Linked DNA regions of Tamandua tetradactyla. The protein of the gene in region 3 purifies or fractionates together with the protein of the main gene of each other region. This does not show direct contact. Links are inferred from orthologs where the notes say so. Each region holds a gene or a part of one and is shown on either strand. Other genes may lie near its edges.

Region 1 (7,833 bases), on a different chromosome or scaffold from region 3:
TCTGGAATATAACGAGGCATTCCATTAACCTGTACAAACCAACAAGATCTCATGCCCTATTCAAGAGTCCATGTAGTTATGGTGTTCAAATAAACTGACCATACAAGTTAAATTAGGTAAGCTGTGTGATATATATACATATATATTTTGGGTACATGGTACAGGATTTGAACCCAGGTCTCCCACATGAAAGGTGAGCATTCTACCACTGAACCAACCATGCACCCACTGCATGATATTTTAATCACTGTTTCTCCAGTTATTTTCAGAGCAACATTTAAATTTGCTGCTGGAGCAACTGATAAAGAGAAGAACTAAAAGGTACAAGTTAATTTTCCCTGGCAGAGTATGGGGATGGGCATAGAATATTACATGTACAGCATTAATTTGTACTTCTGAAATACCCTAAAAGACTTTAAATTTACAGACATGCTAGAAAATAGACTAGCCCTTTGTTTCTCTGCAGAAAAAGGTCTCACTTTCAGATGTTCAAAAATAGGCCTCCCTATACCTATGGCACTCCTGTTTCCCCGACACAGGTACTACATGCTCAGGGAACTGGCACAATGAAATAACTACAAATGCTTGAAACTGGCTATCTTGGTCATTATCCTAGAACCCTGTAGATAGCAAAAAATTCAATAAAACATTCTGTGATGACAGAAATGTTCCGTACTGACCAATATAGCAGCCACTAGTTCATGTGGCTTGTGCAACTGAGGAACAAAATTTTAAATTTTATTTAATTTTAATTTATTTAAACTTAAATACCCATATATAGCTAATGGCTACCATATCAGTCAGCACAGATCTAGAATGATCATGATTTCAGCACTGGACAGGTATCATAAACAAGGAGATAAAGACCAACTTACCTTACAGGTTACAACAGCCCCCACATCTGGCAGTAATTGAGACTCTGTCTCTCTCACCACAGACACCACAGGAAGCTACAAAAAGAGCAATTAAAAAACGGTATACCGACTAAGCCTTGGATAAAAGTATTCATGGCTTAAAGTAATAAAGAAATGCCTTGGTCCAGAGAGGTTAAAAGGGCAAATGAACTATGGATTTTTTTTTAGCCCATAGCAGAGTATCTGAGAAATAACAGGAGGACCAAGAGGCCATGGGAAGAATAATGCCAGAAGACATAATTTAACTATTTCAGAGAAGTTTTAATATGTTTTGGTGATATTCTTGAAATTTAGTTCTACAACCATATTGCCTACAATTGCTGATAACTTGCCTCGTTTTTCCAAAGTTATACCAAGTCTTAATGTAGTTTATTGCACAAGGCTAAATTTCCAAAACAATGTTTTCTAATAGTAGCCATACTTGTTTTCTTCTATGTTAAGAAATTACTTATAGAATTTTTTCTTTGAGCCTGGTATTGGCTGTTGCTGTAAGATAGATATTTTTGAGCCTCATCTTTAATCATTCTCTTCTTTGCCAACTATGCTTCAGCTCTCCTGACCTTCTTTTAATTTTCCCAACTCACTGAATTTCCTCCCATCTCAGGATCTCTATTTAACCTGCTCCTTCTGCCAGGAATGCACTCTCCCCACCTACCCAACCCTTATTCTTCAGCTTAAATGTCGCTTCTGCTGACTAGGGTGGCTTTCCTGTTACATGTTCTCACGGTGCCACGTAATGTTCATTTGTGCATTTAGTTCTTTATGATTTGTTTCTCTACCCCTTGCCAGCAGAGACCATGTGTATTTAGTTCATTATTACATCATCAGAGGTCAGCACAGCACCTGGAATATGAAAACGTTCAACAGACATCTACAGAATGAACTTAGGAACGTTAAGAACAGCCTCCCAATTGAAAATGAATAAAAAATTTCTCATTTTACAGATAAGAAAGAACCTAAAGCCAGTGAGTTTAAGTTTCTTACTCAAGGCGGAATCAAAGTCTAGTTAAGTGTTCTAATTCTGAATTCTTTCTACCGTGGCACCTGCCTTTAAGTTGTTCCTTCAAAGACTGCTAATCCTGGATCAGTCTCTGGAACTAGGGAGGACAGTATTACTCACTCAATAAATATTTAATGAGCGTCTATCGTGTGCTAGGTGCTGAGTGTACAACAATGAGGCCTGCTTTCATGGAACTTAAGAGTCTAATGGGAAACACATAAGTGAGTGTTTAATTAATCGCTGAGATGAATGCTTGGAAGTAAAGTTCTCTGAGAATGTTTAGCAACACAAACAAAAAACAAACACCAAAAACGCCTTTCCTCAACTATTGGATCGGGAGGGTTTTTATGAGAAAGTGATGCTATCTGAAGGATAAGCAGATATTAAGTAGACCAAGAGGTAGAGGAGAGTGTTCCAGACAGATGCGAATGTAAGAAGGCTCTGTGGCAAGTTAAGAGTACAGCGCATTAGCGACAATGAAAGAAGCTGGTGTGTCTGGATTGCGGCGAGGTGAAGAGTGGAGGGAAATGAAGCAGCGGGGATTACAGATGGAAGAAAATCAGAGACTAACTCTCAAACGTTTTACTGGCCAGGCACTAAACAGGTGTTCGCAGCGCCCCTGCCTAAGCGCATGAAAATCAAGAGAAGCCCAAGGAAAAGAAGGAGACAGAAGAGATGGGAAGCGGAGCCTTTACCGCGCCGTTTTCGCTGCTCTTCGTCATGCAGCCGGCAAGGGAGGAGAAAATGTAGCCGTGACGGGTGTAGGTGCCGCTGCCCGGGCTTCCTTCCTCCAAATTGCACAGCCGTTCGCCTGCAGATAAAACACTGCATCAATTTCGGGGCCCCCAAATGTGCTGGCCGTCCAGCATCCTTGCCTCTGTCCCCATTCAGGACTTTGCGGGCACTGCTCGCTTACCAGGGACGCAGTACCTCACGGGCGGCGCCATGACTAACCCCTTCCGAAAGCCCGGATGAAAATGAGGCCAACTCCTCATTGGACTGGCCGAGGTGCAGTGCCGCAGTAACAAGCGCGTCAATTGGAGAGCTTCATCGGGCGCTCTCTGGAAGCGACTCCTCGAGGGTTAACTCCATTTCCCAGCCTGCCCCGGGACAAGTAGGGCCGAAACTCCCGGGATTTTGCGCTTGCGCTTGTGGTTCAGGATGGGCTGGCGGTGGGTCTGGGTCCTCTGGCTGGCTCTGCGCGTGGCGGGCCATGGTGGGTCGTGCTGAGCCGGGCTCGGCCGGGGTGCCGAGCTGGAGGGTGTGGTAGTAAGTGGTGGCGAAAGCTGCAGGACTCGATTTCGCTGATTGGGCAGCTGGCAGGTAAGAGCAAAGCCGCAGTCCTTGCTCCCTACTTCAGTCCTTTTTCTAGGGTCGGGCCCTATCCCGGGATAGTTCTCCATCTACGTAAGCCCGGGTTCGTGCTCTTTCGCCACGCTCTGTGTGCAGGCCATTCCGGGCGGAACAGGACCAGGTCCTTGACCAATCCAACGCACCCATTTCACGGATTTGGAAACTAATCCGGAAAAGGATTTGATTTGTGCAGTCTCGAAGATAGTTCAAGGTAGAGTTCAAACTGGAACCCACGTTTTTGTTTTGCTTTGTTTTGATTTACTTCCAGTTCATCGGGCTTTGACCACGAGCCCTCTTTGAGAAGTAAAACCTTTTCCCTGTTTGTGAAACTGCAGCTTCAGATCCTGCAGTAGGATTCCCTCAAGAGGAGCTGTAGTCATTTGAGTCCGTCCTTAGCTTTTGATGAGCATCCCCATGATAAAGTTGCTACTTTTCCCTCTTTGCATCGTGTTAGCCCGTAAAGGAAATCTTGTACATGAATAAAATGCTGTTTTACTGATGCTCACTATGTGCTGCTTGAGATCGCAGTCCTCATGAGAGCAGTATTTGTCCAGAAGAGGTTTGCCACGACTTTCATCTCAGTTTCCTTTGCCTCCTTGTGGTGTTGCAATCTGTTTCTTCTTATCTCCCACCCCTACCCCTCTCCCCCACGTAAATGGTGACTTAGAGCCTTAGAAAAAGAAACCCGGAGTGATGAGTGGCCTGCAGTCCCCTCTAATCGGATGGCAAATCCCACTATAGCCTGTGGCTACTACCGAGGGATCAGAGTGTTCAGGGCTTTGTGCTTGGAGGTGATAGTGAAACGACAGTGTTCTCTTTCTTTTCCCACATTCACTCGGAGATCACCACCCCTTACCCCAGCTTTTGAGTGCCCCCTTACCTCAATTTCCTGAGATGAAAATGCCGTATGTTCAGTTATGTCCCATGAACTGCATCTCTCTTCCATGTCATCCCCATCCCCTCTATATCCTACTAGCTAAAGTAAGGGGGTAGGGGGCTAGCTTCAGACCTTATTTACCCAAACCTGATCTGTAGCTATGCATCTACAAACTTTCTATTTACATATTTGAGTTTATTTCAGTTGGACTTATTTTTAAAAATGCCTTCTAGGTCTTAAGTACTATGATTCTAATAACGGTTTCTGTTTCTGTCTTTGATCAGAAAGAATGATAGTGGCAGACACTCAATGTTGTCACGTTGGTAGGAGTGTCTTTGCTGGTATTTGTAGGTCAGATAGGCATGTGATCAGCCTTTCTACTTCTGTATCCCATAACCAGGTGTTCTAGGTCATTCATTCATTCACCAAGTATTTATTGAGCACTTCCATGAGATAGGTATTGTGCTAACCACTTTCATTTCATTTATACCTTACCATATATATATCCAGACTAGGTTAGATATGGAAGGGACTTTAGCATTTAGTCCTACTTTCTCGTTGTGTGCGAACAGAAGGACATTGAGTCCCAGCAAGGATCAGTGATTTGCCCAAGGTCACAAGTGATGCTTAGGGGCAGAGGTGAACCCGGTAAAGAATGAATCTGATTTGCAAGCTACTGCTATAAAAAGTATTTTAGCAAATAGAAAACTCTCCATTAGCCATAGTTAGGGAATAAACAATGGTGTGGACAATCCAAAAGTCACCAGAAATTGTTGTGGGGTAGTCTGTTTACTCTCACTGTTGTATTTGATTGTGGCTGTTATTTTGAAAATTCATTCTTTAAGCGAAATCATGGTTCCAAACAATGGTAGTTCAACTGAATGAAGGTAGGAAAGTTGAGCTTTTCCTTTTTCTCTTTTCTATATGCCATCCCACATGCCTTAATACTCTTAGCTTCCTAGGAGGTAATGGGAATGGCCAGTTTCTTTATCCTGGTGCAGTGTGGGTCCCTATTCAAATGTCTTTCTTCACTTGCTCCGTAGGCCTAGTTTGTTGAGGTTTTTTTGTTTGTTTTTGTTTTTTGCCTTAGGTAGTTGCAGGGCTTGTGGATAGAGGTAATGAAATGTTCTCTTTGAAGGACCTTTTGTGGGGATGAGCCAGGGTTCAAGGAAAATATAGTGCTCCAGTTACTGAATTGAAACCATCCCTAGAGTGGAGCAGCCTCCTCCAATTTCTGCTGGGTTTTTAGCTGCCTGTTAAATAAGTCAGTGCAGTTGCTAAGGACAAACAAAGCAGCCTTCCAAGGCCACCCTAGGAGAAAGTTTCTTTTCTGGTAAAGAACTTCTAATCTGCAGAATTGATGAGACTGTCATTTTAAGAACCTGCCAGAGCACTGTGTTCTATTCTGGGGATCGGCTGGGCAGCCAACCCTTTTTCCATTGCTGTTGAATGAGTTAGAAACAACGTAAAGGAGATGGAAAGCACTTGTAGAGCAGCTGTGGAAAGTGCTAAAGAGCTGGGAAGGCTGGGGACAAGTTTGAAGCCAAGGGCAGCAGCTATAGAGAAGGCTTTTGTGTCCAACTTGAACAAGGCAGAGGAGACTTATCACTCAGAGGGCAGGCTCTGTGATTGTCCTGAGCTGCCAACATGGGGGCCCCTTCTAAGTACCAGTGTTTCCTGCCTCTAGTGCTATTCTGCCCTAAATACCTGAAGTTGTCTTCCCTTCTGTATCCTTGTAGTGGTTCTGGGACTAGAATTGAAGACAAGGCATCTTATATCATGCAAGGGATGGCTGAGCTGAAGTGACAGGCAGACAGAGAATCTCATGCTGTTAGGCTGAGTTGGCTGGCCTGAGGGAATGGGAAGGAGTACCTTTGTCAGGACCCACGGCATCAGGGAAGATCTAGGTGTAGGATCCCTTTGCCATGTGCTCACTCCCCGACTTAGAGGAGCTTGCTGTTCCTTGGTGAAGAACAACCTTTAGCAGGTAGGTTGATGAGTCAGGTTAGCCTGTTAGACCCTGGGCTGCCTGTTATAATGGCCAGGCCCACAGAAACACATGGATATTTTTGTACACACTCCACCCACTGGTCTGTCTACATAGATCATTCCAAGGATCCTGCTTTACCTTGGAGCTGCCTACCTGTCCTTCACCCCTTTGCTGTGGTCCTTTACCCTAGATGTTCATTACCTTGGATTTCTGTGCACCCAAGTGGTGGAATGTAAATGGAATTTCTAGACTCATAACCTCCAGTTCCTATTTCATGTAATCTGTTGGGGACATTGGCATTGTACATTCACCTGGTCACTGGCCTAGCTGGGCTCGATATTAGGTCTTTGCCCTCTTAAACTGGTACTCTGGATTCCCCACTGGCAAGGATAGGGAAGGAGAGGAACCAGACTTGATACTCACAATAGTGTGTTTTCCTAGAAGTCATGCGGAGCCAGAGGAGCCTGCTGCTAGGCCCAGCCCGTCTCTGCTTGCGCCTGCTTCTGCTCCTGGGCTATAGGCGCCGCTGCCCACCTCTGTTGCGGGGTCTGGTGCAGCGCTGGCGCTATGGCAAGGTCTGCCTGCGCTCCCTGCTCTACAACTCCTTTGGGGGCAGCGACACTGCTATCGATGCTGCCTTTGAGCCCATCTACTGGCTGGTGGACAACGTGATCCGCTGGTTTGGGGTGGTGAGTGATGCCCAGGGAGCAGGAAAAGGGATGTTTTGGGATAGGAAAGGGATATGTCTCTGATGGACCTCCACTAGGTTTTGGAAGCCAGCTCCCTACCCTTCAGGATATTCCTGAGTCTCTGCTGGGTGTTGGCAAGGCTCCTTTACTGGTTCTACCTGACCCACATCTTCAGACTTCCTTGGTATTGGCAGGTGTTCGTGGTGCTGGTGATCATATTGACCAGTTCCATTGTGGCCATCGCCTACCTATGTGTCCTTCCCCTCATTCTCCAAACCTACTCAGTGCCACGACTCTGCTGGCATTTCTTCTATAGTCACTGGAATCTGGTGCTGATTGTCTTCCATTACTACCAGGCCATCACCACTCCACCTGGATACCCACCCCAGGTCAGTTCCCATAAGGGCATGGGGGGAGGGGGACTTGCAGACTATGGGAACCAGTCCTAGAAGTGGGGAGGGAAAGTACTTTGGTATCTTGCAAGGTGTAAAGTTGTTGTTGCCACAGCTTCATGATGCTTTTCTTCCTTTGCCCAGGGTAGGAATGATATCGCAGCTGTCTCCATCTGTAAAAAGTGCATTTACTCCAAGCCAGCCCGAACACACCACTGCAGCATCTGCAATAGGTGGGTGTTGGCTTTACCCCATGGGGACCATCACTGTGGCCCTTCAGCTTTAGTTCCAGAGCAAAACCTAGACCTGGAATTTATTAAGACACTTACGAAGCACATGTCATGACCAGGCTCTCTGCATTCTATTATCTCATAGCACATATTCCTTAGGAGTTAGGCATTCCCTGAGTTAGGCATTGCTGCCATGTAGGGAAACTAAGACTTAGAGAAATTAATTACCTTACCCAATATCACACAGCCAATAAATGGCAGAGTTGGGTTTGAAGCAAGGCCTGGCTGCCTTCAAAGTCTGTGCCCTTTCCACTTCAGCAGGATGTTGGTCCTTGTAGGAAAGGATTGGCATTGACATCTCGAGAACCTTGGCCACCATAACAGAGCC
Region 2 (7,834 bases), on a different chromosome or scaffold from region 3:
CAAACTCCTATATATATAAAATCTTGTTAATTATTCTTAAATCACTTTCTGCAAATAGTTCATTCAGCCTGAAATCCCTATTCTGTTAGATTACATGACAATAAAAAACACAGAAAATTTTCCTGTGGGCTCTGGAACAAAGATGGGTTTAGTACCAGTCAAAAGAGGAGAAATGAGATTCTGAGACAGAATGCCCCCCAAATAGGTCTCCTCGCTGTCTCCCCCTGGGAGGGAAGCTACTGGCTGCTCCATCTCAGGTCCCTTTGCAAGTACTTCATCGCTTTAATTCTAACTATGAAGTGTTCCAGTACTGAAAGCTCAGACTTGGACCTCATCTCTTTTCAGTTAACCACTCATCTCTCAGTGTGTCCACTCAATCTAATGGCTTTAGACACCATTGATAACTGTATCATTACCCTGAACTCCAGGTTCTATTTAACTGCTACCTAACCAACAACCCCATTTAGATTATGAATAGGCACTCCCAAATGTAACAAGCCCAAACTATTTAACGGCTACCTACCCAACAACCCCATTTAGATTATGAATAGGCACTCCCAATGTAACAAGCCCAAAAATAAGCTTCATGCCACTCCCTTCCACTCCCAGAAACGTGCACCTCTCCCAGCTGTCCCCAGTTCAGTAAATGGCAACTCCATCCCCCAGGTGCTCAGGCTAAAATTTGGAGAGTCAGCCTTGATTATTCCCTAATTCTCAAATTGCATGAGTAGCCCAGCAGTAAATCCTGCCAGCTCTACCTCCAAAATATATGCAGAATCAAATACCCCTACTTCCACTGTATCAGCACTTTGGACTGCAAAGCAGTCCTCTAATCCATTTCCCTATGTCTGCCCCGATTCCCACAGCAGTCAGTGATTTTACTAAAACAGTTAAAAAATTAAAAAAAAAACCAACCACAGATTGTGTCCTTCTTCTGCTTCATTCTCTCCAGTGGCTTCCCAGATTTCACAAAGTAGAAGCCAAAATGCTCACAAAGGCCTTCAAGGCAGGCCAGATTATCCACCCACCTCAGCTCTGTGTCTGTATCTGTTCTTTCTCTCCCCCTCTGCTCACTCTATTCTAACCCCACTGACATCCTTCTAGGACCAACATTTACCGAGCCCTTCTAGGCACTTAGCACAGGGCTAAGTGCATCATTTCACTAGATTCTGATGAAATTTGTACAAGGTAGATGATACTATTCTCCTCATCTTGCAGAGGAAGTAACCAAAGCTTGGAGAAGTTAAGTAATGTGGGGAAACCTTTGCAGCCCACATTTACCTTTACCACCATTCCTATAGTCATGTGGAAAGCTTCAGATCCCCCAGAATGATCGGACAGATGGGGGCAGGTAGAGGGGGGAAATCTGGTCATGCAACATGGATGCAGTAAGAAAGAGAATACACACCTTTTGTTCTCACCTGGTTTTCAAAGCTTTCACACAGATCAACTTGTTAACTCTCTCTACAGAACCAGCCACAGATGCTATGAGCTTCTCTTCCCCCATATAAGTTCCATGACCCCTGTGGCAAGACACAGATATATAGGATACCAGGGTAACATCTGAGACGACCTCTCCCCTCAAAAACGTGTTCTTCAAACCAAAAAGGCTCCTCCCACATTAAAGCCTGGCTTTTGCACTGGCTGCTCTCCCAGCCGGGAACCTGGAATATTCCTCCTCCAGACAGCTACACGGACATCTCCCTCATCTTCTTCAAGTTTGCTCAAATGTCACTTTCCTCATCAGGCCTACCTTATGTGTCCCATTTAAAATTGCAAACCATCCTGATCCCACCACCCTCACCAGACTCCCAATCCCATTCCACTTACTCTGCTCAACTTTTTATTTTTTCCCCTGAAATGATCACCAAACATTCTGCACAATTTCTTTGTTTTGCTTATTGTTTATTATCTGACTCTCCCTGTTAGAATATAAACTCCACCAGGACAGAGGTTTTCATTTTGTTCACTGTTGTATACAAACCACACATAATATATGCTGAATGCATGAATGAAGGAATGAATCTTTAGATTTCCTAGGATCCTAAAACATCACACTAAAAGGTTAAAGGACAATGCTGTAAAAGCCGTAGTTCTCACGTATGTAATAGCACATGTGTACCAAATTTTTAAATGGCTGAAGCATCACTAAAAGGTTTATATTATCTGTGGTAGTGGTGGGATAATGGTGGTTTCTGACTCCTTTCTTTACATTATATCATTGGATCCTCACTACCCCATCAGATAGTTACTGTTGTTACTATTTTACAGAAAAGTAAACTGATCTTTCCGCTAAGAATAGGGAGAGGACTGGAACCCGAACTGCCTCGGGAATCTGCTCCTTAACTAGAACCCATTAAACTGCCCTTAGACTCAAAGTTCGTGTATTTTGTTTGCTCTAAGCCCAAACAATTACTGACTCCAAAACTGAACCTCTGGCCCCGAGATGAACCTAAGTGAGAAAGAGGCCAAATCAGGAAAGCCCCCTGTTCCCTCAAACAGCTGAAAACCGGAAAGAGGCCCCTGCTCCTAACCCTCCTCGGTTTTTCAGGACTCCAACGAAGAAAGCTCAGAGACCTGGCCTCAGGCAGAGGACACGGGCGTCACGGGTACCAGAAGTCAGGAGAGGAGGGTTTCGGGAGTCTGAGACAGGTGCCGAAGGGGACACAAAAGATGCAGGGGATCCCAAGCCAGAGGCCTTGGAAAACTGGCGAATGGGATGCGCTGAAGTTGTGCCCTGGGTTCCGGGAGACTTAGACGCACCGGACAGAGGCCCAGGTTTCGGCCCATCAGGCCACGTGCAGAGAGCCCTGGAGCTGCTTGCTGGGGCCCAAGGCCCCCGCGTCCCCACTTACCGCATGAAGCCCGTGTCCGTAGTGATCGTGTCCCCCGGCACCACCAGGTGTTTCTTAGTCTCGCGGCCCAGATTCTCGCTAAGAGGTTTACGAGGAACAGGAAGCCTCATTTCCAGCGCCATATTGGCGCCAAGTACCAGAAGCCGCGATATCCGGCGCCGCAGTTCCCTAGCTCCAGGGGCGGAGGAACAGCGCGGGGCGGGGCCTCGGGGCATCCACCAATGGGATCCCGCGGGCGGGCGGCCATGTTGGCTATTGGCAGCCGCTGGGTTAACTTTAGGGGAAAGCCGCAGCCAAGTTGTCGTATTTGTTATATTGTCAAGGCTTCCCCCCGTGAAATGACAGTATAAAAATCTCACTTTGCGTGACGCCTGACATTTTACCAAAACTGTCTCATACTCATCATCCTATTTATTGCTTACGAGGATTGGAAGTATTTGGAAAAATGGACCTCTGAGTTTCCTTTCAACTCTAAGCCTTTATGTGTCTCAGTGTGCGAGTGAAAGAGAGGGAGAGTGTACAAGCGAGCGAAATCAGGAGGATGGGAAGGTGGGATCAACAGAAAACATTTCTTTACATAGAAAGAAGAGCCCCTTTTCACACCTTTCCTACTAACTCCAGTATTCTGCATCACCACCGCCGGATGCATGCTGGTTCAATACCGACCGTCTTCTATATCCGGAAACAGAGCTCCAGGTCCATGCTGGTTCTGTCCTTTCATAATAATTTATTTTGAGTGAGAGGAGATGATTTTGAAAAAGAAAAAAGCTATCCAAGAAAACTTTGCAAGGCAGGCATATCTGGCAAGGAGAACAAATGCACACACAGTACAAAAAGAAAATCACTTGCATTTTTTCATACAGCAAATCGAGCACTGTGTGCCCAACTGTTCTAAGGATTGAGTGAGAACCGAGGTGTTTGTGGCTTTACCTCCAGGTCCTGTAGGAGCCTCTCCCTGGTGTCTTCTCCTGGGTTTCACTTCCCTGTCCCTGACTTGCCCTGGATGGTTTATAGCATTTACAGCAAACAGTCTCATCCTTAGGGAACTGGAGATGACAATTTTTCATACATACACAGTTGTGCTCAGTAAATCAGGCCGGCTGCCTCCTAAAGATCAGTCAGACCAATTGTTTTATAAATCGCTGAAAGGATAGCACTTCTTTCACCCAAGCAATGCTCAGAACTACACTTGTAAAGAAAGCCAGGCCTGTGAGGCAACCTGATACAAATTTGAGTGATCCACTGGTCATCTGGCAAGTAGGCAGACCTGACCCTCACCCTTCTCTCTGCCTTGAGGAAGGCACTAGAGAGGAAGAGAGTGCAAAAATAACCCATCTGGTATAAGTAAAATATATGCATTAAAAATATATAATAGGGGGAACAAATGTCAAAATTAAAAAATAAAATGGGTAGATGGAAATACTAGTGGTCAATGAGATGGAAGGGTAAGGGGTATGATGTGTATGAGTTTTCTTTTTTCTTTTTATTTCTTTTTCTGGAGTGATGCAAATGTTCTAAAAATGATCATGGTGATGAATATACAACTATGTGATGATATTGTGAGCCACTGATTGTACACCATGTATGAAATGTTTGTACATTAAGAATTCATGTGCTTGTACGTTGTTTTATCAATAAAAATTTAAAAAAATAAAAAATAAAAGTAATTAGATTATACCTGAATAAATTCTGATATAAATAAATAAATAAAAAGTGTTAATAAAAATAAAAATGACCCATCTGTTGAGTCTCACCATGGCCATATGGTGGCAGTGGTGCCCTGTGAGCCAGCACAGCCCAGGCAGTGAGGAGACAAGCCCTCCCATCCCTCCACAATGCTGGCAACCAAGGAGTGAGTTAAAGTACTTACATCATCCTGTTTCATTCCAGGAAGGAAGGACATACCCTAAACCCCTCCCATTCTCACAGTATTTGCAGTTGGTCAAGCTTGTCACAACATTGGAATTATGGATACCTTTTTTATTGGTGAGGAAACTGAAATGACTAGAATTCGCACAGCAAATGGTGGCAGGCCACTGAGGTAGAGCTTGCATTTATCAAACACTTCCCAATGGCCTGGTCCTTTGCTAGGTGTTTTATACTTGCTTCTTTCCTACCATGTAGAGAGATGAGTACCCAGAAACTTTGTTGCACACCCCTGAGGGATGTGATAAAGATACAGATTCCTGGACCCAGATTCAGGCATCGAGGCTCTTCAAGGGTAGGGTCCACAAGTCTGTGAGGGTGGTTTTTTTGCAAAGATTTTTTGTTTGTTTGTATTTTGGGGTGCATGGTCTAGGAATCGAACCCGGTTCTCCCGCATGAAAGGTGGGCATTCTGACACTGAACTATCCGTGTACCCCTTGTGAGGGTGTATTTTAACTCCCTGAGTGATTTATAGTTGATCAGATTTAACATTCGCCAATTTCCCCCAATGTCCATCTACCTCCCCATCTGTGCAGCTTCACGGCCACAGCCCCAGACTAATCGATATTACCTCTCACTTGAGTGACTGTAATAACCCCCTCAGTTGCCTCCCTAATTCTATATTTACCTGGCCTCACCTCCCCTATGGTCCGTTCTCCATACAGTAGCCAGAGTGATCTTTTTAAAACAGAGATCTGATTAAATCATTTCCAGGCTGAAACACTTCTGGCAGCTTCCTTGTAGACTAAAAATAAAATTCAGATTCATCACTGGGGAGCACTGAGGCTCTGTAGGACCTGGCTCCTGCCTGGCTTGGATCTCACTCGCCATCTAATCCACTCCCTTTACTGGCTACGATGAAGCTGGCTGCACTGGGCCTCCTCTCTATTCCACACACCCCAGTATCAGTACATTTTTAACTCTCTGCACAGAATTCTCCTCTTCTCCCAGGTCTTTGTGTGGTTGGCTCCTTCTCCTCAATCAGATCTCAGCTCAAACAGCACCCCCTCAAAGAAGCCTTCCCTGACCACTTTATCTGGAATAGCCCTCTGGTCCTTTCTTTTTTAATCATTTGAGCTGTTTTATTTCTTGGTCGTTGAGTTTTCCTGTTTATTTCTTTGGTTGTTTGCTGTGAGGGCCTCCCCTAGAGCACACGTGCTCTAAGAACAAGACTTTATCTGTTTTGGACAACTTATATGAACACTTGGAACCATGTCAGGCAAACAGAAGGCACCCATAAAATATTTGTTGATAAAAATGATACATTTACAAAATATACATTTCCCTGTTTGTTTGCTTATCATCTGTGCACCGCCCCCGACACACAAACAGGATGTGAGCTCCACAAATGCCCAGACTTTGTCTGCTTTGTTCATCGCTGTATCCTCAGCCCCAAGAACTATATACTTGACACAAAGAAGACCCTCAATAAATATTTGTTGAATGAACAAATGAACTTATTCAGCAAACACCTGCCAAGCACCCACTGTGCAGCAAGCATGGCACCCGGCACGGTGGGGTTTACAGAGATGTATCATTGCTGCCCCAGCTCTCCACATGCTCAGGAGTTCAGAGATGAGGGTGGGAGCGAAGGAACAGAAAAGCCTTCCTGACAGAGTGAGTGAGCCTTGACATGAGGGAACTGCTGAGCCTGACAAGCTGGGTGAGAAGACATGTGAACTTCAAGTGAAGGAAACGAATGGGGAAACGTGAAAATAGAGGCAGCGGAGACTGTTGCAAGAGCTCTTGCCACAATCCTTATCCACCCACTGGCTTCCTCCTCGTGTTCCATTAAAATGATAACAGTAACAGGACAAATGTTCTAATCAGATATATGCACAAAGATTTCTGCACAAAAAGGCTCACTGCAGTATTGCTTCTCCTAAAAACAATAGAAACAGCCATATTGTTTATGGAGGTTGTTAAACATGCCCATGAGTTTGTAGACATCTCTTCAGTCAAGAATTTGGATCTATTGCTAATTGCCATGGTTTGCTAAACCCCAACCACCATCACTCCTATTGACTCTTAAGAACACCCAGGGCTCAAATTGATACTCTATAAAGGTTTCATGTGCGAAGTTTGCTTTCCTGGAACCTATAATTCCTGGAAGGTTCCTAAATCAGATAAATCCTGAAATCCAGAGGGACCAGCTTCTGCAAGATTATCAGTTAATTACGTTCCCCTATTCTTTAGTGTCAACACTCCTTCTCAACATGAAAAAGTCAGAACGGGTATTGCCCAAAGACTACTATAGATTTGGAGAAAGATCAGAGGAGAAGGAAAAGGTATAACAGAGAAAATAGGATTTAACAAATGACTATGACTGTTGAATCACTGTATTAATATTCCTTCTAGTCTCCAGTGTTTTGGAGCAGCTAGAAGGAAAATCTGAGATGGTGTAATGATAGCCCATGACAAACCTTGGGATCTGTTCTATAACTACTTGTTGAACTGTGCTTTGAAAATTGTTGCTTTTTCTTTCTTTGCTTTGCGTATATTTATTTTATAATAAAAATGTTAAAAAAAAAAAAAAAAGAATTTGGATCAATGCCTCCTGCTTCTGCATCTGGGCAGTTTTGTGACTGCTTTGACTGGTAGCGCCTGTCAGAAGTGACACTATATGACTTCCAAAGCTAGGTCAGATAGACTACGCAACTTCTACCTGGTTCTCTTGGAACACTTGCCTGTGGAGCCCTGCCAAAGATGTCTGACTGCCCTGAGGCAGCCATGATGTGAGAAGCCATACAGAAAAGATCTATGTAAGTGCTCTGGTCAACAGCCCCAGAAAAGGCCTCAGACAATAGTCAGCGCCAACTGCCAGACAGATGAGTGAAGATGCTTCCAGATGGTTCCAACCACCAGCTGTCAATTCTCCTCCAGTTGTCAAATCATCCCAGGTCCAAAAAATCATGGAAAAAAAAAAGCATCTCCTCTGTACCCTGTCCAAATTCCTGACCCACAGAACTCCACGAGCATTATAAAATGTTTGCTTTATACCACTAAGTTTGGGGTGGTATGTTAATCAGCAATAATAACCAAAACAATGTCCA
Region 3 (8,078 bases):
AAACTGCATACAACTATAAAACATGTACAAATGAGTAATACAAAACTGGTGAAATGTGAATGACTCTCTGGATTGTATGTACCAAGGTCAATTTTTTGGTTTTGATGACACTCTAATAGCAGGAGTTACCATTGGAGGTATGGGTGAAGACTAAATGGGACCTCCCTGCATATTTTTTTCCCAACTTCCAGTGAATCTATTATTATTTTAAAATAAAAAGTTATAAAAAAAGTTTGCAAACTACTTAAATTGTTTTGCAGCCCAAAGATACCATACTCTGAAAGAACTTGCAGCTTCAGGAATGCATACTTTCTATTTCCAAATCCTTTCACCTTTGCTATTCAACATCATGCTGCCATTTATAGGCAGCAAAATATTCACTCTTCAAGGTACAGAGCAAATGTCCTTTTGCTAGGACCAAGCATCTTTCCCTGATTTTCATATACCATTCATCAGGATTCTTTTGTGTTTTCCAAAAGACTGAGACTCTGAATAGCAGACCATTTCTCTTATTCAGTCTAGATTTGTCTTATTTTACGAGTCTCCTTTTCTTGGATGCTTCTTTAGCATTATTTCATCACTCTTATTTCAGGCAGTGAAATGCACCAATCCTGGCCAACTGCCACTTTATCTTCTGTTTTTAGTCAGTAGGCATTCTTTATGGTATAATATACAGGATTTCTCATTCTCTTTCAAAAATATGGAAAGGATAGAGCACTCTTAAATACAAATCAAGAAACTCCAGACTTTGGTTACAATTTAATTCTTCCTACTCTACAGCATCTGAGAACACACTCTGAAAGTTAGAGATGACCTACAGCAGGGGTCACAAACTATAGCCACCAGTTTTTGTAAATAAAGCATTACTGGAATATAGCCATGTGCTTATGGTTCTCAGTACAATGGCAGAACTGAGTAGTTGCAGGAAAGATAGTACAACCTGCAAGCTGTACTTCAAGGGCCAACCCCTATGAAGTTTGTAGATTCTTAAGGGCAAAACAGTTAAAATCACAAAGTAAAAGCCCTCTCTACAACCAAATCATCATACTGACAGACCTTCCAACAACATCCTTCATTTTCAACTTCCCAACAGGCTCTCTCCTCACCTCGCAATAGCTGACAGAGTTAGAGTTTTCAAGCACTGTTTGTTGTTCAAACAAGGATTAAAACTTCAATTCTCTTATTCCTGTTCTGTACTTGGCACTGGCTGAACTATACTGTATATAGTAGCCTAAGTCTATAGCTGCTCCATTCATTCTCACAGGACATTCCACTCCCATGTGTTTAGTGTCTCCTGCTAATCCTGTAAATTCCTTCCTGCTAATCCTGTAAATTCCTTCGGACCATAAACTGAACTTGCTAACCCAAACTGAGAACATTTTATTCATTCTCCTTCTTCTTTTTTTGTTTCACATTTGCTTCCAACATTCAGCTAAGTCTCCAACCCCAATCATTAGGGTGAGGGTGGGCATTTTTTTTTTTTTGGCAATTGTTTTTTAAAGTTAATTTCTTCCTTCCTAGTTCCAGAATCAGCTTTTCTGTCTGGAACCTAAAATCACTCAGCACATATCCATTTGGCTTATTACAAGAGGGAAAATAACAGCTAAAATCTTTTCAATCCCCTGCTGTGGATGCATGTCACTTCTCTGAAGTCTACATGATTACAAACCATTAAACAAGAAGAAAATTCTACTCACTAAAATTTCAAATTTTGCTAATATGCCTGAAAGCAGTACATCAGAACAAAATAATTCTACAATTTACCCTCTACCCTCACCCACCCTATTCATCCCTAGTTGCATCCTCCCCTAGTCATACCCTCACTCCAGCTCCATTTGAATCTTGTACACACAATGCTTACTCTCTGATCTTTTAAACATTACTTATTTCTTATTTTCCTTTTGCTAGAAATTCCACCAGACCCTCTAAACATTTAACAGTTTGCATATCTCTATAAGTAGTGTTCACCAATAGGCAGTGTAGTCATTATGAAGTGGGGTTCTAGAACGAAATTTGTCTGTGTTAAGAGTCCTGTCTGCACTACTTCTTAGCCTGTGTATTTGGCAAGCTACTTCTGTTTCAATTGCTTCAGCTGAAAAAAAAAGATAATAACCATAGTTAACTCAGAGTTATTACAGGGATTAAATGGGTTACTACATGCAAAATACCCAGAACAAGTTTTTGTTTTACGATTTGGCTGTTTTCCTTGTCTTAATTCCTATATACATTATATTTACCCTTGTCTCCCCTCACCTCCTCTTCACTTCGAAACTATAGAGTTAAACTGCTTCCAATCTCAAATACAAAAACAATTTTTCTTAAAATTCGGTGAGATAACAATTCACTTGCACCTCAACTATAATAGTTCTCTCCATTCGCACCTTACTCAGGGCATCATCTACCCTCACTGGGATCATCAGAACTTCTAACTGGCTTACTGACTTCAATTTTGTTCATGATACGGCCTTCCTTCCACCAAAGCATTCTCCACTGAAGAGTCAAAACTAACATTAAAGTAAATAAAAGTACAATGCACAGCAAATGACTGACCCTGGTGCTCGACAGCTTTTCGCTGCTCTTAAGATAAAGGTAACAATCCTTCGTTTGGCCCCAAATGCCCTGCACCCTGTGACCACTGTCTACTTTTCCAACCTCATTTCCTGCTACTTTCTTTCCAGTCATACTAAATTGTTTTCAGTTCTTGAAAATCTCCATGCTTGTTTTATTTTTTTTTTTTCTTTTAACAGCTTTTTAGACTGTAACACGCCCTTCACTCAGCTGACGCTCCTATGTTCCCCATATGGCCCCTGCCACAACTTATCCTTCAGCCTCAGCCTAAGGGCTAGTTTCCGCGAGATGCTTTCTTTGAAGCTGAGTCCAGGTGAGGTCCCAGAGCTCCGCGCTCCACCACGAGTGCTCCCGGCACGCTGTATTCTAACCACTCGTGTACGTGTCCCCGCTCCTAGTTCATAACCCGGTATGCCTAATACGGAGACGGCTCAAAATGAAAGAATGAACGCGAAAGTTGGAGGCCCTCCGGGCCCTCTCTGGTGCCCCTGTGCGCCCGCCGCTTCGGCCCCAGCCTGGCCCGGAAGACCGGCTGCCCCACCGCCCCGCCCGGCCCAGCCCGGCCCGTGCCACCGCACCTTCATGCGCAGCAGATTCTTGGACAACTTGCTCTTCTGCTCGGCCGCCATGCCAACCTCCCATCCGGCGCCGCGTTCCAGCCTTCAGCCCTGCCGCGCATGCGTGCTGCTGCGTGCGTCGTGGCGTCATACGTGACGCTAGATCGCCTGCCCCGTGGCCCCGGCCCGCTGCCTCAGCTGGGCTTGGCGCCCGAGGGAGCTGACGAGGCTGCTGTGGGCTGCCGACGCGGAGTTCTAGTGGACTTAGCGCCCGTAGAGAGACCCCAGATCAGAGTAGACCGAGAGCTGATGGCCACCTTCTCCGCCAGCTTCCCGTCCCTGGTCCCCCAGGCGCGCGTGGAGTGTGTGCCTCTCGGGGGCCCCGCTTCAGGCATTCCAGTGAGCATTTGCGATTGTTGCCAGACCTGCCTTCTCATCTGGATCGCGGCTTCTTACGTAATAATTCAGTTCGTATTCACAGTAGCCCCGCGTGGCGGTTCTCTCATCCTCGCCTTGTTGCAGTTGTGTAAAATATAGGGCACTTCCTTAATGAGCCCAAATTAAGAATGAAGGAGGGGGCCTGTAAATCCAGGCAGTCTGGTTCAGCAGGACTCTTAACCACCAAGCTACAAATCGGTGAAAAACCATGTTACATTCACCTATTAACTGCGTCTTTGTGCTTAAGTGATCTCTTTGTTATCTAAGAAGGATGTCCTGTCCCAATCCAGCACAACCCAAAGACCAGAGACCACCCTTGGCAGAGAGTTAGGCTTGGGTTTATTGGGATTTACTAACAGGAGATCTGTCCACACGGTGGCCGTCTGGAAAGTGAAAGTCTGTGCTCCCTAAGGGGCCTGGAGTGCAAGGGGTCAGCTTATAAGGGTTTAAAACAGAGACATTCTATAGGGCTTGAGACCAGAGTTCGGCAGGGTTGTGACACAGGGGTCTGGAGTCTTATCATCAGTAGTGGTCAAGGAAGGGGAGTTTTAATCCTTTGTTTATGATATCATCTATACTCCCCTGCACCACCTCCCCGGGAGGTTTAATGACCTCTTACTTCTGTCTGGGTCATTGTAGGCTGCTCCCTGTAGTCACTGATTCTCAATATGGAAGAGGTGGGGCAGGGCCCTGTGTCTCCGCAATCCATTCCCACTCAGCAAACCAGGTTGACCACAGCACAGATATTGCATCCATGTTCCACAGCAAAAGTGTAACAGACACAGAATAGGTGTCCCCCATACAGAGATAACCCCACAAAGAGATGCTGCCATGGCCAAGAAAAGGAAGTAAACCATTTAGACAGGGGGTCTACTGATAATTGAGCAATATTATGCTCTTGCATATGATTCCGAACTTGTGAAATATTGTGTGAATGATCCGAAATACATGTGCAACATTGCACGTTAATTAAGGCACGGGTGCCGCCTTGTGCTACAGTGAGAATATCTCAGGCCCTTCTATTTTGTAAAACTACTTTTCTAAGTTGTGTGGTTTCTTCATTTAGCAAGGCGATAGCTATTTTGGAATCATTAAGTGCTTGGGCAGTGTGATCTGTTAAAGGTGTCACGTGCTTTTTCAGTAACAATTGCAGCTCCACTTGGTACAAGAATGGCTAAAGGATAATACCACTAGGGAGTGCATTTTATTCTATATCTAGCTTTAACCATTTCCAAATTACTAGGCGTATGGGGTAAAAGGTCATATAAGGTAGCGGGGACATTGGCCTGTCCCATGTATTTACAAAGTAAATAGGGCCAACTATATTGCCCACCGGTCCATAGCCATCTCTTAGGGGAAGGATGATGTTGCTTAGAGATATCTTGTCAGTGGGAAGACTGGCATGTTTGTTGGTGATATATTGCCAGTGAAAAAGACTATTGTTTTGTAGTTTAACAGTAAAATCACACAATACCCACCCCTTGTTATGAATTCCATCAAGTTGTTACATACAGACAGGGCAACATGGTCTGTTACAGGTTCTGCTGGCAGCCACCCTAAACCACCAAATACAGCATACTCCAATACAGGCTGCGGCTTGTTCATCTGTTCCCATACAAGGGAGAAGGTGCAACTCCTAGTCTCATCATAGGACAATAATTGGATTTCAGTCTTAAGTGAGAAGATTTTCTTCCAGATTTTCCTGTGCATTGAATTTTGCCAGGCCAGCAGGGTATTTCACACAGTTCAGTTCTCAGGGATCACAGTCCAAGGAAGGCTAGTAGCTCCTGAAGATTGCAAATCTGTGCAAACCCAACATTGGGTTTGATTGTGGGCATAAGTTACGGCTGAAGCCATTGTAGAAAGGCGTTTGCTAGGGCACTATGGATAAAAAGAAAAGTGTTTATGGGGAACGATAAGGGGTATTTTCTGCTGATGTAATAATATATGTGCTAAGAGTTCCATTGGTGGATAATTAGGTACCAGGCAGAAGGACACTATGGGGAGGTTTTAAATACCACATATTTGTTCTCTCCAAATCTTGAGAGTCCTCTACCATTACATTAATTGCTAATCTGCGTATAAGAAGGATCCATATAGTCATGGGTAAAGCTTCCGTGGGACTAGGAGGCCCCAGATTGGTGATAAAAATTTTAACAGGCAATTTTTTTTTTTTTTTTTTTAGTATAAATGATGGTCAGGTTACAATATTTTCAGTGACTCCTGTTCCACAGTATGTGGATTTAGGATTCTCAACCAGTGCAGCTGCATAGACCAGCACTAAGGCCAAAGTATCTTGTTTTCCCTGTCTGTATGGTCTGAGGCACAGGCAACAACATATTATTGTCATTTCCCCTTTTCAGCTGCAAAATGGCTGGCCCTTTAATTTGTATTCTTGGGGCCTGCATGTGTCCTACCATTAGCATTTCTATGGGGGCAGGTACGATAACCCACTACATTGCATTCAAGTGAGTTGAAGCCTTATAGAACCTTTTAGTCCACTGCTACAAGGACTTCTTATCATCTTTTAGCTGTTCCTTTAACGAAACATTCATTCTTTTAATAAGGCTTGCACCTGTGGGATTGTAGGGCAGATGGACATCCACATGATGTCCTGATCCATGGCCCAAGATGGGGCTGTTTGTCCAGGGAAAGGGGTAACTTGATCACTGTCTGTGTAGACACACCATACAGAGTGCTCACTTTCTCCAAACATCAGACAGTGGCCTGCTAGTTTGCCTTCCCTATCAGGAAAGTTATCAACAGTCCTATGGTCATGTCCATGGTGGTAAAGGCATACCTCACCCTCTCTGAGAGTGGAAGGGGATTGATGTAATCCACTTGCCACAGGATCATCAGGATTTGTGACTGGCTGATGTGCCCCATTTGATGTGATAAACTATTTGGTTGACACAGGGAGCATCGTGGGCATTCTCTGGTGATGTCCACTAGCTGTTGGCATGTGATTGGCAGCTGTAATTGGCTTTTATTGTTGGCAGGCATCCCAGATGTCTTTCCACAATTCTTGTCTCCAGAGGGGTGACCTATGACTGTCTATTGGTCTTGCTTCCAGGTTGCCATCCAGATCGTAAGGCCTTTATAAACAGCCCAGCTGTTGGTACAGATAGTTAACATGTCTCCTGGCACCCAACTTCTTTGCCAAAATCTTTCAGTTTGCTAAAGCTGCCAGAATGTAATATACCAGAAGTAGATTGGCTTTTATGAAGGGGATTTATTAAGTTACAATTTATAGTTCTAAGGCCTTTAAGATATCCAAACCAAGGCATCCAGAGAAAGATAACTTGACTCTGAAGAAAGGCCTATGGCGTCCATGGTTTCTCTGTCACATGGGAAGGCATGTAGTGATGTCTGTTGTCCTTTTTTCCCAGCTTCTGGTTTCAAATGACTCCCTCAGGTCCTGTAGGTCCTTCTAGCATCCCCTGGGGCATCCTCCTTCTGCATCTTCAGACAACTGTGTCTTGGCCTCTGCTCTCTATTTTGGCTCTGAACCTCTCTTGGTGAGCTCTTTTAAGGACTCCAGTAAACTAATTACTGGAGACCTTGAATAGGTAAGGTCACATCTCCCTCATCAAAAGTCCAGTCCACAGTTGATTGTGTCACATCTCTATGGGAACAACCCAATCAAAAGGACCTACCTACAATTGGTTGGGTCACATCTCCAAGGAAACAACCTAATCAAAAGGTCCAACCCAACAATAGCTCTGCCCCCACAAGATTGGATTAGAAGAGCATGGCTTCTCTGGGGTACATAACAGTTTCAACCAGCGCATGATTCATGCACTACATTACCATCCATACTGTTCTTAACTCAGCTCATTGACTGCTCTGCATAGTGTCAGTCTCCCACTATTTAATGTCAATACTGGGTTATACTGCCCTTATTGTCCATGTGGGAGACTGTCCACAAGTATATCAGTGTACCAATCAGTGTGCCTGTTTGGTACAATGACTCAGGAATGGTACCGGTGCCTTCTGTAGTGGACATTTCAACAGCTATTTCAGGTGCCATGACTTTAGCTGTTGAATCTTCTATATAGGACACTGGTCTGAGAATTCTGTACATTTCTTGTACTACTCAGAGGACTCATAGTAAAAATGCTACTCTGTAGCAGGTAGGCTTTCCATTTGGTTAGTATGCTCAGTTGGGCATTTCCAGAGAATGCCTTAGAAGCCATGTCGGTTATCCATCCCTGAATGGGGACGGCCATTTTCAAGGTGACTGTATATCTTTGTGTCAGTCCCTCTACTTACAATAAGGCAATCTATGCAACATACAATTCCTTTTCCAGGGGGCTATTTCTCAGTTCTGTTTCTTTCCATAATTGTGACCAGAAGCCAAGGGGTATTCATTTAGAATGTTACCTCTGCCACAGACCCCACCCAAGGCCAATATCAGTGCTGGCTATGTCGAATTCATAGGGCAGGTCTGGGTCTACATCCCCTAGTGCTTGTGCCTGTGCTATGGCCCTTTTTTGTCTTTTCAAGACCAGCCTG

Evidence for each region. Proteins that work in one complex are often made in the same cells at the same time.
Region 1: the proteins of MPHOSPH6 (region 3) and EXOSC1 purify together in Homo sapiens (affinity purification with mass spectrometry; 5 studies listed by BioGRID and IntAct, counting the BioPlex papers as one, with this or other methods). This does not show direct contact. The link is inferred for Tamandua tetradactyla from reciprocal best matches to the Homo sapiens genes MPHOSPH6 and EXOSC1.
Region 2: the proteins of MPHOSPH6 (region 3) and EXOSC2 purify together in Homo sapiens (affinity purification with mass spectrometry; 8 studies listed by BioGRID and IntAct, with this or other methods). This does not show direct contact. The link is inferred for Tamandua tetradactyla from reciprocal best matches to the Homo sapiens genes MPHOSPH6 and EXOSC2.

Annotation. Positions count from the first base shown.
Region 1 is NC_135339.1:58,766,477-58,774,309, forward strand, and holds the start of EXOSC1 (exosome complex component CSL4), read right to left. Parts: upstream 3,028-7,833; 5' UTR 2,910-3,027; coding exon 2,831-2,909; exon of another isoform or gene 2,726-2,830; coding exon 2,610-2,725; exon of another isoform or gene 1,767-2,609; intron 951-1,766; coding exon 876-950; intron 1-875. Other genes in the region: palmitoyltransferase ZDHHC16, read left to right, coding at 6,581-6,823, 7,018-7,212, 7,360-7,448. UniProt on the Homo sapiens protein: Non-catalytic component of the RNA exosome complex which has 3'->5' exoribonuclease activity and participates in a multitude of cellular RNA processing and degradation events.
Region 2 is NC_135328.1:53,592,962-53,600,795, reverse strand, and holds the start of EXOSC2 (exosome complex component RRP4), read right to left. Parts: upstream 3,028-7,834; 5' UTR 2,978-3,027; coding exon 2,856-2,977; intron 1,524-2,855; coding exon 1,422-1,523; intron 1-1,421. UniProt on the Homo sapiens protein: Non-catalytic component of the RNA exosome complex which has 3'->5' exoribonuclease activity and participates in a multitude of cellular RNA processing and degradation events.
Region 3 is NC_135342.1:76,859,531-76,867,608, forward strand, and holds the start of MPHOSPH6 (M-phase phosphoprotein 6), read right to left. Parts: upstream 3,246-8,078; 5' UTR 3,198-3,245; coding exon 3,147-3,197; intron 2,317-3,146; exon of another isoform or gene 1,819-2,316; intron 1-1,818. Other genes in the region: uncharacterized protein LOC143659822, read left to right, coding at 3,246-3,581. UniProt on the Homo sapiens protein: RNA-binding protein that associates with the RNA exosome complex. Involved in the 3'-processing of the 7S pre-RNA to the mature 5.8S rRNA and play a role in recruiting the RNA exosome complex to pre-rRNA; this function may include C1D.